3 linked regions of the Struthio camelus genome follow. The protein of the gene in region 3 interacts with the protein of the main gene of each other region in a pairwise test. Links are inferred from orthologs where the notes say so. Each region holds a gene or a part of one and is shown on either strand. Other genes may lie near its edges. The genes, in order: NUP50, NECAB2 and KPNA2.

Region 1 (3,747 bases), on a different chromosome or scaffold from region 3:
TTGCGTGACATAGTCAGTTTCATCGGCATCTTCTTTCCAATACAGTCCTTTCATCAATTACATCCTCTACCACATCTGTGCCTAGAACTATTATGGACAAAAGTCTGACGGGACAGCTTCCTCCTTTCTATTGCTTGGACAGCAGTAGGAAAATCCAGAGCACAGGAGGAAGCTATCCTGTCCTGAACTGTGTTTAGTCCCATGCTATCCAAAAGCAATGTGGATGACAGGTAAAATTTTCTGTCCCATTTCTAACATGGGGCATGCACTGTTGCCCTCCAAGAGTGTTTCATATAAAGGTAGCTGTGACAATGCAGTTGTCAGAGATTTTTCAAAGGACTACAATTTGATTAGATTTAGTTAACGCTTTCACACAGGCACCACACAGTAAACTTGTAACGAAGGACATCTTCCTCTCAATTTTCAGTCTGTATTGCAAAGAGTAGGTGGCACTAAAGCTCTTCCAAGGGGGGAAAAAAATAAGTAGAAGAAATCTTAACAAAAGACAACACCTTTTTCATTCTCAGAGCAACTTAGTATTTTGGCTTTTATTTATTTAACATCTGCCTGGGACATCCCCCCAGTCCCCATCCCTTCAGTATGGATAATTTCATTAACTTTTGATTTCCAGGCTTCCGTCTCTGCAAAGATTGAAACTGGAGCAGTTCAAACACTACTTTCCCCATTTGTAGAAGAGATCATGTCTAAAACATTCTCTATTTATACTTCAAAGAACACAGATCTCTTTTGGTCCCCAAAATACTAGTATTATCCTTTTCTTATTCAAGTCTTATTCTTGCTATAGGAACAATAACTGAAAAATAATTTGCAATATATAAGAGCTGGCTTATAAATGGTAGAGCTATACAGTATTAAGTTACAAGTGCAAATAAGTAAAAAACTTGAACACAGATGTCTTATTTTACAACTAAGTCAGGCTACAACACTGTTCAGTGATTAATTACCTCTGATCCAACATTTCGGCGCTTAGCTTTTTTAATAGCTCTGTTCTTCAGCACTTCTTCACTAGCTACTGAGAAAGTTCCCACCTTTGAAAACAAGTTATGGAATCATTAGTGGAATTCTCAGAATATATAAAGTCAACATAGTCAGAAGAAATAGCAGAGATCAACTTTTAAACACAATTGTAACACTTCTCTGTAACAAAGAAGGTGAGGCAAAAAATGCAGCTATACTGTCTTCTAGTACCGTGATTAGCTGGTCAGGTATTTGGATGATTAGTTGAAACTTGACAGCTTTGACAGCTGTCTTCCCTACCTTGCATTAAATTTACCTGCACACAAGACTGCAATCTCAGTTTTATCAAGACAAATTAATTGAAAATTTCTGCTTTTTCAAACAAAGCTGTAAAAAAATCTTTGCTGAAAGGAATCTGTCAATATCGCACTGCTGCAATCAAGCTTCAGTTTAGAGAAGCTATACTGAAATGTATGGTCAAAATCCATCTCCTACAGGCTGCTGTAATTAAATGTTAGCAAAGGCAGCTAAAGACCAATTACTACCCCAGAATAAATGGGGAAATTAAGTTTTCTTATATTCACATTTCTAGAAGAGTATGGACAGTTTCGTTTCTCACATTTTATAGGCTTAAACATACAACATTTTTAGTGGCACAGAAGCTAGCATAGTTTGTTTAGAGATGACACACAAGCCATAAATACATACAGGACACTAAATACGAAAGTCCGTTTTTACAACCAGATGAACCGTATCATTTCACTGTTTGCTTAATTCCTCTGGCAGTGTGGGGACATTCAACTAAGCACTCCAAATTAACATATTTTTGAAATTAACTATTACTGACCTATTTAAAAAAGCCAGGAGACATGAAGAAAATTTATTTAGACCGTATGCCAGTGAACCTTAGAGTCAACTACCTCAAGAAATCAAAAAAAACACTTTTCTTGTTAACTCAATAAATATTTTAAAGGAATTTCAACCACACATTTGAAGAGTTAAAAAGCACTGTGCATTCTAATGAGTCTGGGTTTCCCTTTAGAAATGTAAACTTCCTCTCCTCTAAGCTGCTGATGTAATTTTAAATAGTTAAAAACTGCTTTGCCATATACTTCATATACTTTGCAAATACTGGAAGCTTTTAAAAAATACACTGATTTATGTAAAGCCATCTTTAATTGCTACCCTTGTAACCAGTTTATCTTATGGCTGAAATCTATCGTAAAACACCACATATAACTAACTACCCTATTACCTTGTCTGAGGGGTAGGGGGTGGAAAAGCATGCAAGTATATTTTACCTCCTCAGCTTCATCTTCCTGATCCCAGTTTCTGTCGGTCAGTTCTTTTTCTGCAATTCTCTTTGCCATTTTTCCAAACCTGTGTGGAAAAATAATCAAAAGAGCACAGACTCAATTGTACAACAGTGAAATTCAAAGCCACAGTGATCTACAACTTGTATTATCCAGAATAAGTAATGGGAATCAGAGTTCATACAGAAAGAAGTGGGTCAAAATTAGAAAGACAGCTGAAAAATCAAGCATTTTTAACAATACTAACAACATATGTTGCAACAACAATCAACAGCATGTGAAATTGGGGAAGCTGTGCTGTTTAGTCATATTTGACACTAAATTTAAGCAACAGTAGAAGCAGGCAGTTCAATTACAGGATAAGTTTTCTTCAGCAGCAAAAGTGGCTAGAGAAATTCTTTTCAGTCCCACAGCTCATAACCTCATCACCAATTACTGGGAAGGGCTGCAAGAAAAATCAGATAAGATGATCTGGTTAAAAGACTCTATACCTCACCTCATCTTGCTTCAGGATACCTATGTAAGCAGGAATAGTCTTGCAAGAGAAATGTAATTTGCTCTATAACATCAAAAATAACGACCATGGGGACCCACTGAAGCAGCTGGGCAGAGAACTTACTTTGAGTAAGAATGAAAACAATGCTGTAATTCAAAAAACAAGATTGCTAGACTATTACTAATTAAAAAGTTGAGAGATTCCAATATAAATAAATGACGACTTTTTTTTCCAAGGGACACCCAAAGTTTATCATGGATTTTAGAGCAATTAGTTCCAGCAGCCAATCACTATTTTGCTGCTTCTCTCTGCAATGTAGAGGGGGGAAAAAAACAAACAAACAAACCAACAAACCCACGGCACACCACTTTGAAGAAAGAATGCCTGTAGTACTTTTAACTTCTGACTTCCAATTTAGTAAAGTATAACTCATCAGCTGTATATGAAAACAAACACTGAATCCAGCTAGACTATTTCACATCTGAAAAACACCCAGCAAGTACTCACGCTGCTCTCAAATTCTATACCGAAAGAAGCATCTGGCTAACAGCGACTACAACATCTGACATAACCATGAAAACTTTTCAGAAAAAAGGAAGTTGTTTTTGTAAAACTTTAAAGTCACACAAGTGCAAGAATTAAAATTCCTTAAAAAAACAAAAATAAGAAAAACTCACACACTGCTATAATTCAAACCTGGTCAGAAAAAACATTCCACAAATATTAATTCACAGTCAGAGCTGAAAGCGATGATAATACTTGATTTCAGAACTTATCCCATCTAGCAAATGAATTTTTAAACAGAACACTAAATATCACTGCACAACACTCTCACAGAGATCACAAGTCAAATACAGGAATTTTGGTCCAATACATTTAAAGGGAAATCAATAAGATCTTTTTGAAATACAATCCATTTCATTATCTGATAAAAGACTATTTTGTGCAAACACTTTAAAA
Region 2 (3,747 bases), on a different chromosome or scaffold from region 3:
CAAACTTCCAAGCTGCATAACGAATTTTCATAGCACGTGGAAAGTTCACAGAAGAACCTCACTTATAAATTTAGTCAGTAAATTGTCCTAAGTAACTTAAGCATAGAGCAATCCTAGCCTGTGTGTGAATCATAGTCTGAATTAGCCATTTAGCAGAGGGACGTCTAAAGGGGAAAGAAGCATATGAATAGTCTGAGGATTAAGTGCCAAAAAGAGTGGAGTAATTCGGGACATGAGGGGGCACAATCTGGTATATACCTTCTAACAAGTCATTTGTTGCTGGCTTTCTCTCTTAGGCCGTGGTGGATCAGGCCTTTCGGAGCAACGATGCCGTACCTCTTGGGAGACGGGGCGCGGAGCTCGGTGCGGGAAACTGCCGATGGTGTTTCCCGGAGGAGCGCCGGGCTCGCTGGCCCCCCTGCTCGCAGGGGCCCCGGGAGCAGCCCGGAGAGGGTCTGGCGAGCGTGCTGCGTTTGTGCCTGGCACGGGCCAGCTTCACCTGGCAAACAGGTTTCAAGCGCTGCATTAATGTGCTATAAAAGAGGTCACTGGATTCAGCTGTAATGCTCGCTTGCACTCTTAATAGCAACTGAACAAGAAATTGGAGAGCTCTCCAAACCAAGCCAGCCCCATTCCCCCCCCCCTTTTTTTTTTTTAATTTATATTTTTTGCAGCAGGCTCTCAGTTTTGAAGCTTCGGGGCATTTTTGGATCTAAACCCGAAGCAGGCACCCCGTCTGCGGGTGCAGGGTGGGGGGGGGGGGGGGCACACACAGAGCACGTGAAACGATTTCATCCATCCCCCCCCCCCCAAAAAAAAAAAAAAAAAACCAACCCGTCCTTGGGGCACGCCTAGAGGGGGCCCAGGAGTGCCCCGGGGGTGCCCGCCCGCCGCCCGCCGTCGGGGCGGCGTGGCCAAGAGGAGGAGGCGGAGGAGGAGGAGGAGGAGGAGGGGGGGGGGGAGTCCCCGGCTCCGGCATGAGGCCGGGCTGAGCGATGTGCGAGCAGGCAGCGCGCTACTGCCGGGCCGGCGTGCACAGGCTGCTGCGCAAGGCGCCGCCGCCGCCGCGCGGGCTCGACGGGCTGCTCCGCTGGGTCGCCGCCAAGATGAGCGACAAGGGCGCCGAGCGCCAGCTGCCGCAGCCGGCCGCCGCGCAGAGGAAGGGCACCTCGGTCATCCTCGATGTGAGTGAGCCCCGCGCCGGCTGCGCCGAGGCGGGCGGCCGCCCGGGTCCTGCGTGTCCCGTCCCCCGCCCCGCTCCGGGCCGGCTGCGGATGGGGGTGCTTCCCAGGTGCTGCTGGCCGGGCGTGGGGCTTCCCCCCGTGCTGCGTCCCGCTGGCGGTGCACCTCGGGTGCTGCGTCGCGTAGGGGTGCGCCCTCCCCGAGCCCTCCATCCCCCCAGACAGGCTGGAGATGGAGGTGCGCTCCGAGCCCTGCATCCCGTTTTCCAGGTCCTGCGTGTCCGCGGACCGGCTAGGCACGGGGCGGGGGGGGGGGGGGGGTGCACACTGGTCCTGCCCCCACCTGGTGTTGCTCAGGCAGCCTGGGAATGGGGATGCACCCTGGGTCTTGTTCCTGCACCCTCCCCTCGCTGGTCTTACACGCCGGGATCCCCCGGGCTGGCTGGGCACCACGGTGCACCCGGGTCCTGCATTGCCTCCGGTCCTGCACCCCACAGCAGCTGGCTGTGGGAGCGCACCCAGATCTAGGACCCCGGCCCCCTGGGGGGGCTGCGGCTCTGGGGACCGTGTCGGGGGAGGCAGGCAACGCAGTCCCGGATGCCTGTGAACGCATCAGATTGGGGGATCCCTTACTCGGGTTTGGGGGACGGGCGGGGGTGCACTTGGTTCCTCAGCTGTGGTTATTCATAGACCTCTCAAATCAGGGGGCTAACGAGGCTATTTGTCCTTACGTGGAATTAGGAGAATGGGCTGGGATAAACCGGAGTGCACATGATGCAATTCCATAGTCTTTCTGTCAGTAGCATCTAATAGTTAAACATGCACATCCTCCGTTTTGCAATCTTCTAGCTTAAAAAAAAAAAAAGCGATGTAGTGAATTCAAAAATAAGCTACTGATGGTGTTGGTTGTAGTAAAGGATAACTCGCACTCTCTTCCTCCTGCTCGAGCATTAGGCAACAGTATCTCTTGCAGGCAAACCCTTGCGTTTTCTAAACAGCCTGCTGAAGTGTGGCACTTTCTGTGGTTGGCATTGGCAGAGATGGGCTGGGGAGTCCAAAACTCACAGTCCTGGACTCACAGGCGTTACGGTGCGTCAGATGAACTGGTCTGGCTGCGTCTTATCGAGCTGCCAAAAGCAGCTTGGAGAGCAGAGCGACCCTTGGGTGGCCGTGCCCTGCGCAACGGGACCGGCAGGCAGGCTGCTGCGGGCAGTAAAGAAATGGTGCTTGATGGAGCAACGAAAAAGACAAAAGTAACGATTGCACTTATGGTTTTTAAGTTAACTTTGCTCTTTCTTTGGGTTTTTGTTTTCCCCTGCGTTTTCATGTAGTCTAACAGCAGCCTGCCCTAAGATTGCTGGTGTCTGTCTTGAGAGCATAAATACAATTGGAAGTCAACAATTTGGCTCATTCAAAAACTTTGTGAGTTAGGGTTGTTCTTTCTACCAGGACAGTATCTTATCTGCTCAACTTTACCTTCTTTAAAAGGATTTTTTTTTTCCTTCTTTGAGGTTTGAGCTAAGAAAATGAACAGCGAACTTTCAGAATTTTCTTCCCCATTGGGAAATGCAATGGATCTGGGTGTGCAGCTCCCGACCCTTTTCCCCTTCTACGATGGGACTTAGAGCCCTTTCCGACCTGCTGAAAGTAGAAATAGATGTTGGAAATGTGAGGTTTGGGGTTTCTTTCCCCTGAAAACTTGCTTCTCTCTTCTTCCTTTCTTCTCTCTAGTTATAATAGAAAATCTAAGCCACGGCTTTATTATACCGGGCTCTTCATGTGCACTATGAGACCAGCCTTTAATGCAAAGAATTTATCAGCGGGGGGGAGCGTGCATTTAGGTGAACTTTCACGCATTAACAGGAAGGTATCGAGACTCGCGTTCTCACCCCTGAGGATTCAAGCGCATTTTCCCGTCCAACTCCTTCAGGTCCTTTAGGTGGAGGGACCGCACTGTGCGTGGTGTCAGCCTTGATCGGGGCGCCCTGGGACAGGAGCGCGGTGCGGACACGGAGCAGGGAAAGGGGGAGAGGCAGAGCCTGACTGACGGGTTGGTAGCAGGTCTCCTACCCTGCGCTCTCCCACCAGCGGAGCAAACCGGTGGCTGTTGTGTAGCAAAACCGAGGGCTGAGGAAGAGTGAAACGGGACCGGGAGTTAGACGGTGTCTACCATCCACGTGCATGCTGCTGCCTGGAGGATGAAACTGAGCTTAAGGCTATTTTTTTCAGTGTTTTTCTTCTTTGTGCTTGTGTCCTTTTAGGTAAAGGATTAGAAAAAGAGGAAAAAACTGAGTAATGTTTATTAGCGCAGCTCAATCATGGGATTCGGTGTGTAAAAACAGCTGAAATTGCAGACTAACTTTTTGAAACCTCAAGTAATAAACTGATGGAGAAGACACCTAAGTACTAAGCACTCCCTAAAATAGGCAGCAAGTAAAGTTATTGGGGGTTATAGCTGGTGGCGGTAGGGCAAGCAGCGGTGGGGGGTGTTTCCCTCTGGCAATCTTGACAACGTCAGTCTGCGTTTCCGGAGCAGCTGTTGCAGTGTCGGGCAAAACGCCTGAAG
Region 3 (3,747 bases):
GACATTAAGGCAAGAGTTCCAAAGAGCTCAGCATGCTACACCACAACCTGCTAATAGTAATGTACTCCTATTTCTAACAACAGAATAGGTCCAAAAAGAAGTTTGCAGCATATTGACATACCTGCAATGTTTCCTAAAGCCCACACAGCCTGTTCACTGATGTGAGTATGGGGAGAGGCCAGCAGTGAAATAAAGGCTGGAATAGCCCCACCATCTACTACTGCCTTTGTTTGTTCTGATGTGCCAGAAGCAATGTTGGTAAGCGCCCAAGCAGATTCAAACTGAATAGGGCTACAGTCCGCTCTCCCCAAGAAGGAGACAAACTTTGGAATCAAACCAGCACGAATTATATTGTCTATGGGGGGCTGCTTCTCTCTTGAGAGGAGTTTCCTAAGGAGGAAGACAAACAGGAAGCGTTATTTTCACCTGCAGAGATCTACACAGATTCTATCTAGTCAGTCTAAAGAGACCTATGTTGAAAAAAAAAAAAAAAAAAAAGATTTCAAGGTATTCAGAGAAGGCAAAGCAACAAGACCTGAAGGGGAAATTTAGCAAAGCTACAAACAAGCTCAACACCAGCATCTAAAACTTCTCGTTAAGATTGCTTCTGCCATGTCTTCACTTTGAGAGGTTCTGTCCAGGCTCTGAAATAAAACAGAGCTACAAGAGGCATAACATATCTGAACTGCTAGAGGTGTCTCAGCAGACAGTAGGGTAATGATTACCAGAAGCAACGTTGCTTTCTAGATCATAATGACTGGAGTTCTAAGCATACTAAGTTTTGTGTGTACTTTATTCCAAGGTAGATCACTGCAAGCAAACATCATATCATAGTCAGATGTGGACAGCTTAAAGATCTTTTTATCAGAATAAAGTAACTTTATTATTACTCTACAAATCTGAAATGGCCTACCGCTTATTTTTCTGCCTCAAAGCCACCTGAAATCAATTACTACTTCCTGGTGAAGTGGTCAGGCTCTTTAAAAACCCATAACCCACATGGTTTTGTTAAAAACATGCATGGGACCAAATGAAACTTATCAAAACACTGTATTTAAAGTTTACTAAACTATATTTCAATAAATGCCTTAATCAAGAGAGCCACAGTTGCTGCCACAGGCAGAGGCTTAGGTTCATTAGCTAATCCTTTTACCTTATCCAGTTACTGGCCTGCACAGGTGAATCAGTTACCTCTAAATTCCTTACCTGGCAGCTTGAGTAGCCTGTAGCTGAAGCTCTGTATTATTACTATTAACTCCTTTGACTATTTCTTCAACTGACCAGTGTGCTGAAACCTGTACGAGAAATAGTTACAGTATACAATACTATGAGAAGACTGCCACTTAATAGAGCAAGCAGTTGTAGAAAATAAGTTGCATCACTGCATGATCTCCAAACCCTCATCAGCTATTGCTTTATCTACATTTGAACTACAGAAAGCATTTTTGAAGTGTTTCACACCAGTATTACAGTGGGCTTAAACACAACTGCCTGAAGTATCTTTTAAAGCGTTTTAACAGGGGAACACAAGTATCACAAACATTAACAAGCCACTTGAGGAAGGGAACTACAATATGGGTCACTGCAGTTAGGTACCTACTTACTTGATTATTCCTATTTTCCTGAAGGGGGGAAGTCGCATCATCTGGTAAAGTGCTAACATTTCTTCTTTTAAGCATCTGGTCATCTTTCTTAGCTTTTCTCAGCTCTACATTGACTTCAATACGCCGCCTTCTCATTTCCTGGAGGACATGCATTGATTAGTTCATGGCTTTTACAAGTAGAAAGGCTCTTTAGAGAGACAATGGCTACTAAAATATTTGTTGCATCAAAATACTCACTGTGGTGTCCTTTCCCTTGTTCTTGAACCTGTTCAAGCGAGCAGCTGTATTGGCATTCTCATTAGTAGACATCTTGCTTATTAGTCAGGCTTCAAGAGAAGTAGATAAAAGAAACTAGCCTAAAAAAAGAAGCAAAGGGTAAACCCTTAAAGCTTATACCACAAAAGTTTAAGTCAAAAACTTAAGAACTTGGACTATTACTTCAAAACAAGAGATGCTTGTCCATATCAGATGGCCACCCTTTGACTTGAAAACAATGGCAACATAACAGCTGCCTTTTCAAAAAGGCCAAAGGTTGCCACAGCAACAGCATTAAGACAAAATCAGTAGAAACACATTCTTTTAAGACACTTTCACCCACAAATGTTATCAGAGTCATTTTTTCTAGGACTAAGATAGGCCTTCCTCCCCATAAAAGGCACATATACATTTTAAATGCTATTTTGACTAGGTCCAGCCCATAGCACACATGCAAAACCCCTCCAAACCCTCTGACGAGGGCAGCACCGACAAGGCCCCTGCCACCAGGCTTGCCATGCCCTTAGGTCAGCAACACGCAATAGCGGCTGTGCTAGTAACGAGGCCGGCCTCTGCCTTGGCCAGCCCCGAGGTGACCCGCTGCAGGAGGGCTGGCTTCACGTCAGCCGCAGCTCAGCCAGAGCTCGCAGCCCGCTCCAGCAGGCGCCAACCCCGTCAGCCTCGCTCCGGGCAGCGGTACCCCACCGCAGAGCCCCAGAGGGAGGGGACTGCCGGGCTGCCCTACCGCCGAGGGAGCCCCGGCCCCTCCGAGAGACCAGCGCACGCTCCGCACCTCCGCCGCGGACTCAGCGCACCAGCCGCCCCGCTGCCACAGCGCCGCTCCGAGCCTGCGAACACGCTGCCACTACCCCGAGCCTCTGCCAGGCGGGATTTAAATTTCCCGCGCCCTCGCCCTGCCATTGGCCCGTTCGAGCCATAGCAACGTTCTGATTGGCCAGTTTGAAATCCGGCTCGTCTCGCGATGGAGAGGAGCGACTCTCCGCCGTGCTCCCGGAAGGGAGGGCCAGACGTCACGTGCTTCGAAGACCCCCCCCCCCCGTCACCGTCCCAGCACTACAACTCCCAGCATTCGACGCGACACCGCCCGGGCCAGAGCCCGGGGGAGACAACTGCACTGGGGCCTCGGTGTCCCAGGAAGGTGACGCGTGGCATGATGGGATTTGTAGTTTCCTAGGGCCTGGCGGGGGGGGCAGTGGGATGGCGGGTGGGGGGGTTATTGCACATCTGGATGGGGCTACAGCAGGGAGCTTTTCGCTCTCGAAACCCTCAATCTGAGCAGTTAGCAGCAGTGATACCCCAGTTCCTTATATACAGCCTAATTTCTACATTATGAACCTTAGGTCACTTAGGGCTTTTTGTAAGACTCCCCCTGATGTCTTTTACTTCAGCCAAGTTAGACTCCACTCGACCTCCTGGAACCACCAGGCATGTGATGCTGCAATTTAAAGTAATTCAACAGCAATCATTACAGATCAAAATTAAATCATATCAAACAATAAAAAGCATGCCCTTGTAGCATTTCCAGAAAATCAACAGATTTGGTATTGTTTCAGATAGGTTTATGCTATTCACAAGGGATGGGTTACAAAAGCAAAACATCCTGTTTTACTGTAGGCGTACTTCAAACCAAAAAGCCTAGATGAAAAAACATGACCCCGCCAGCTGCTGAAGCACATTTTTTACCCATAACGTACAATTCAAGGTAGAGAAGTGTCAGAGACGCATACTGATACAACTTTTGTGGGTTAAGCCATTACAACTTTTTATACTGATCTGTAGATGAACACAGTAGTTAACAAAGATGTACACAGAGCAAGAGTAATTATCAGTGATTGTGTCTTACTGTTCTGACCCTTGTAAAATAAAA

The links.
Region 1: the proteins of KPNA2 (region 3) and NUP50 interact in binary tests that used the Homo sapiens proteins (3 or more experiments, as listed by UniProt). The two-hybrid records come from large-scale screens. The link is inferred for Struthio camelus from reciprocal best matches to the Homo sapiens genes KPNA2 and NUP50.
Region 2: the proteins of KPNA2 (region 3) and NECAB2 interact in binary tests that used the Homo sapiens proteins (3 or more experiments, as listed by UniProt). The two-hybrid records come from large-scale screens. The link is inferred for Struthio camelus from reciprocal best matches to the Homo sapiens genes KPNA2 and NECAB2.

The regions. Positions count from the first base shown.
Region 1 is NC_090942.1:79,514,579-79,518,325, reverse strand, and holds the start of NUP50 (nuclear pore complex protein Nup50), read right to left. Parts: upstream 2,808-3,747; 5' UTR 2,793-2,807; coding exon 2,788-2,792; intron 2,732-2,787; exon of another isoform or gene 2,648-2,731; intron 2,359-2,647; coding exon 2,280-2,358; intron 1,050-2,279; coding exon 966-1,049; intron 1-965. UniProt on the Homo sapiens protein: Component of the nuclear pore complex that has a direct role in nuclear protein import. Actively displaces NLSs from importin-alpha, and facilitates disassembly of the importin-alpha:beta-cargo complex and importin recycling.
Region 2 is NC_090951.1:21,308,639-21,312,385, forward strand, and holds the start of NECAB2 (N-terminal EF-hand calcium-binding protein 2), read left to right. Parts: upstream 1-962; 5' UTR 963-995; coding exon 996-1,184; intron 1,185-3,747. UniProt on the Homo sapiens protein: May act as a signaling scaffold protein that senses intracellular calcium.
Region 3 is NC_090960.1:4,560,953-4,564,699, reverse strand, and holds the start of KPNA2 (importin subunit alpha-1), read right to left. Parts: upstream 2,882-3,747; 5' UTR 2,653-2,881; exon of another isoform or gene 2,605-2,652; intron 1,961-2,604; 5' UTR 1,914-1,960; coding exon 1,842-1,913; intron 1,743-1,841; coding exon 1,605-1,742; intron 1,296-1,604; coding exon 1,207-1,295; intron 391-1,206; coding exon 122-390; intron 1-121.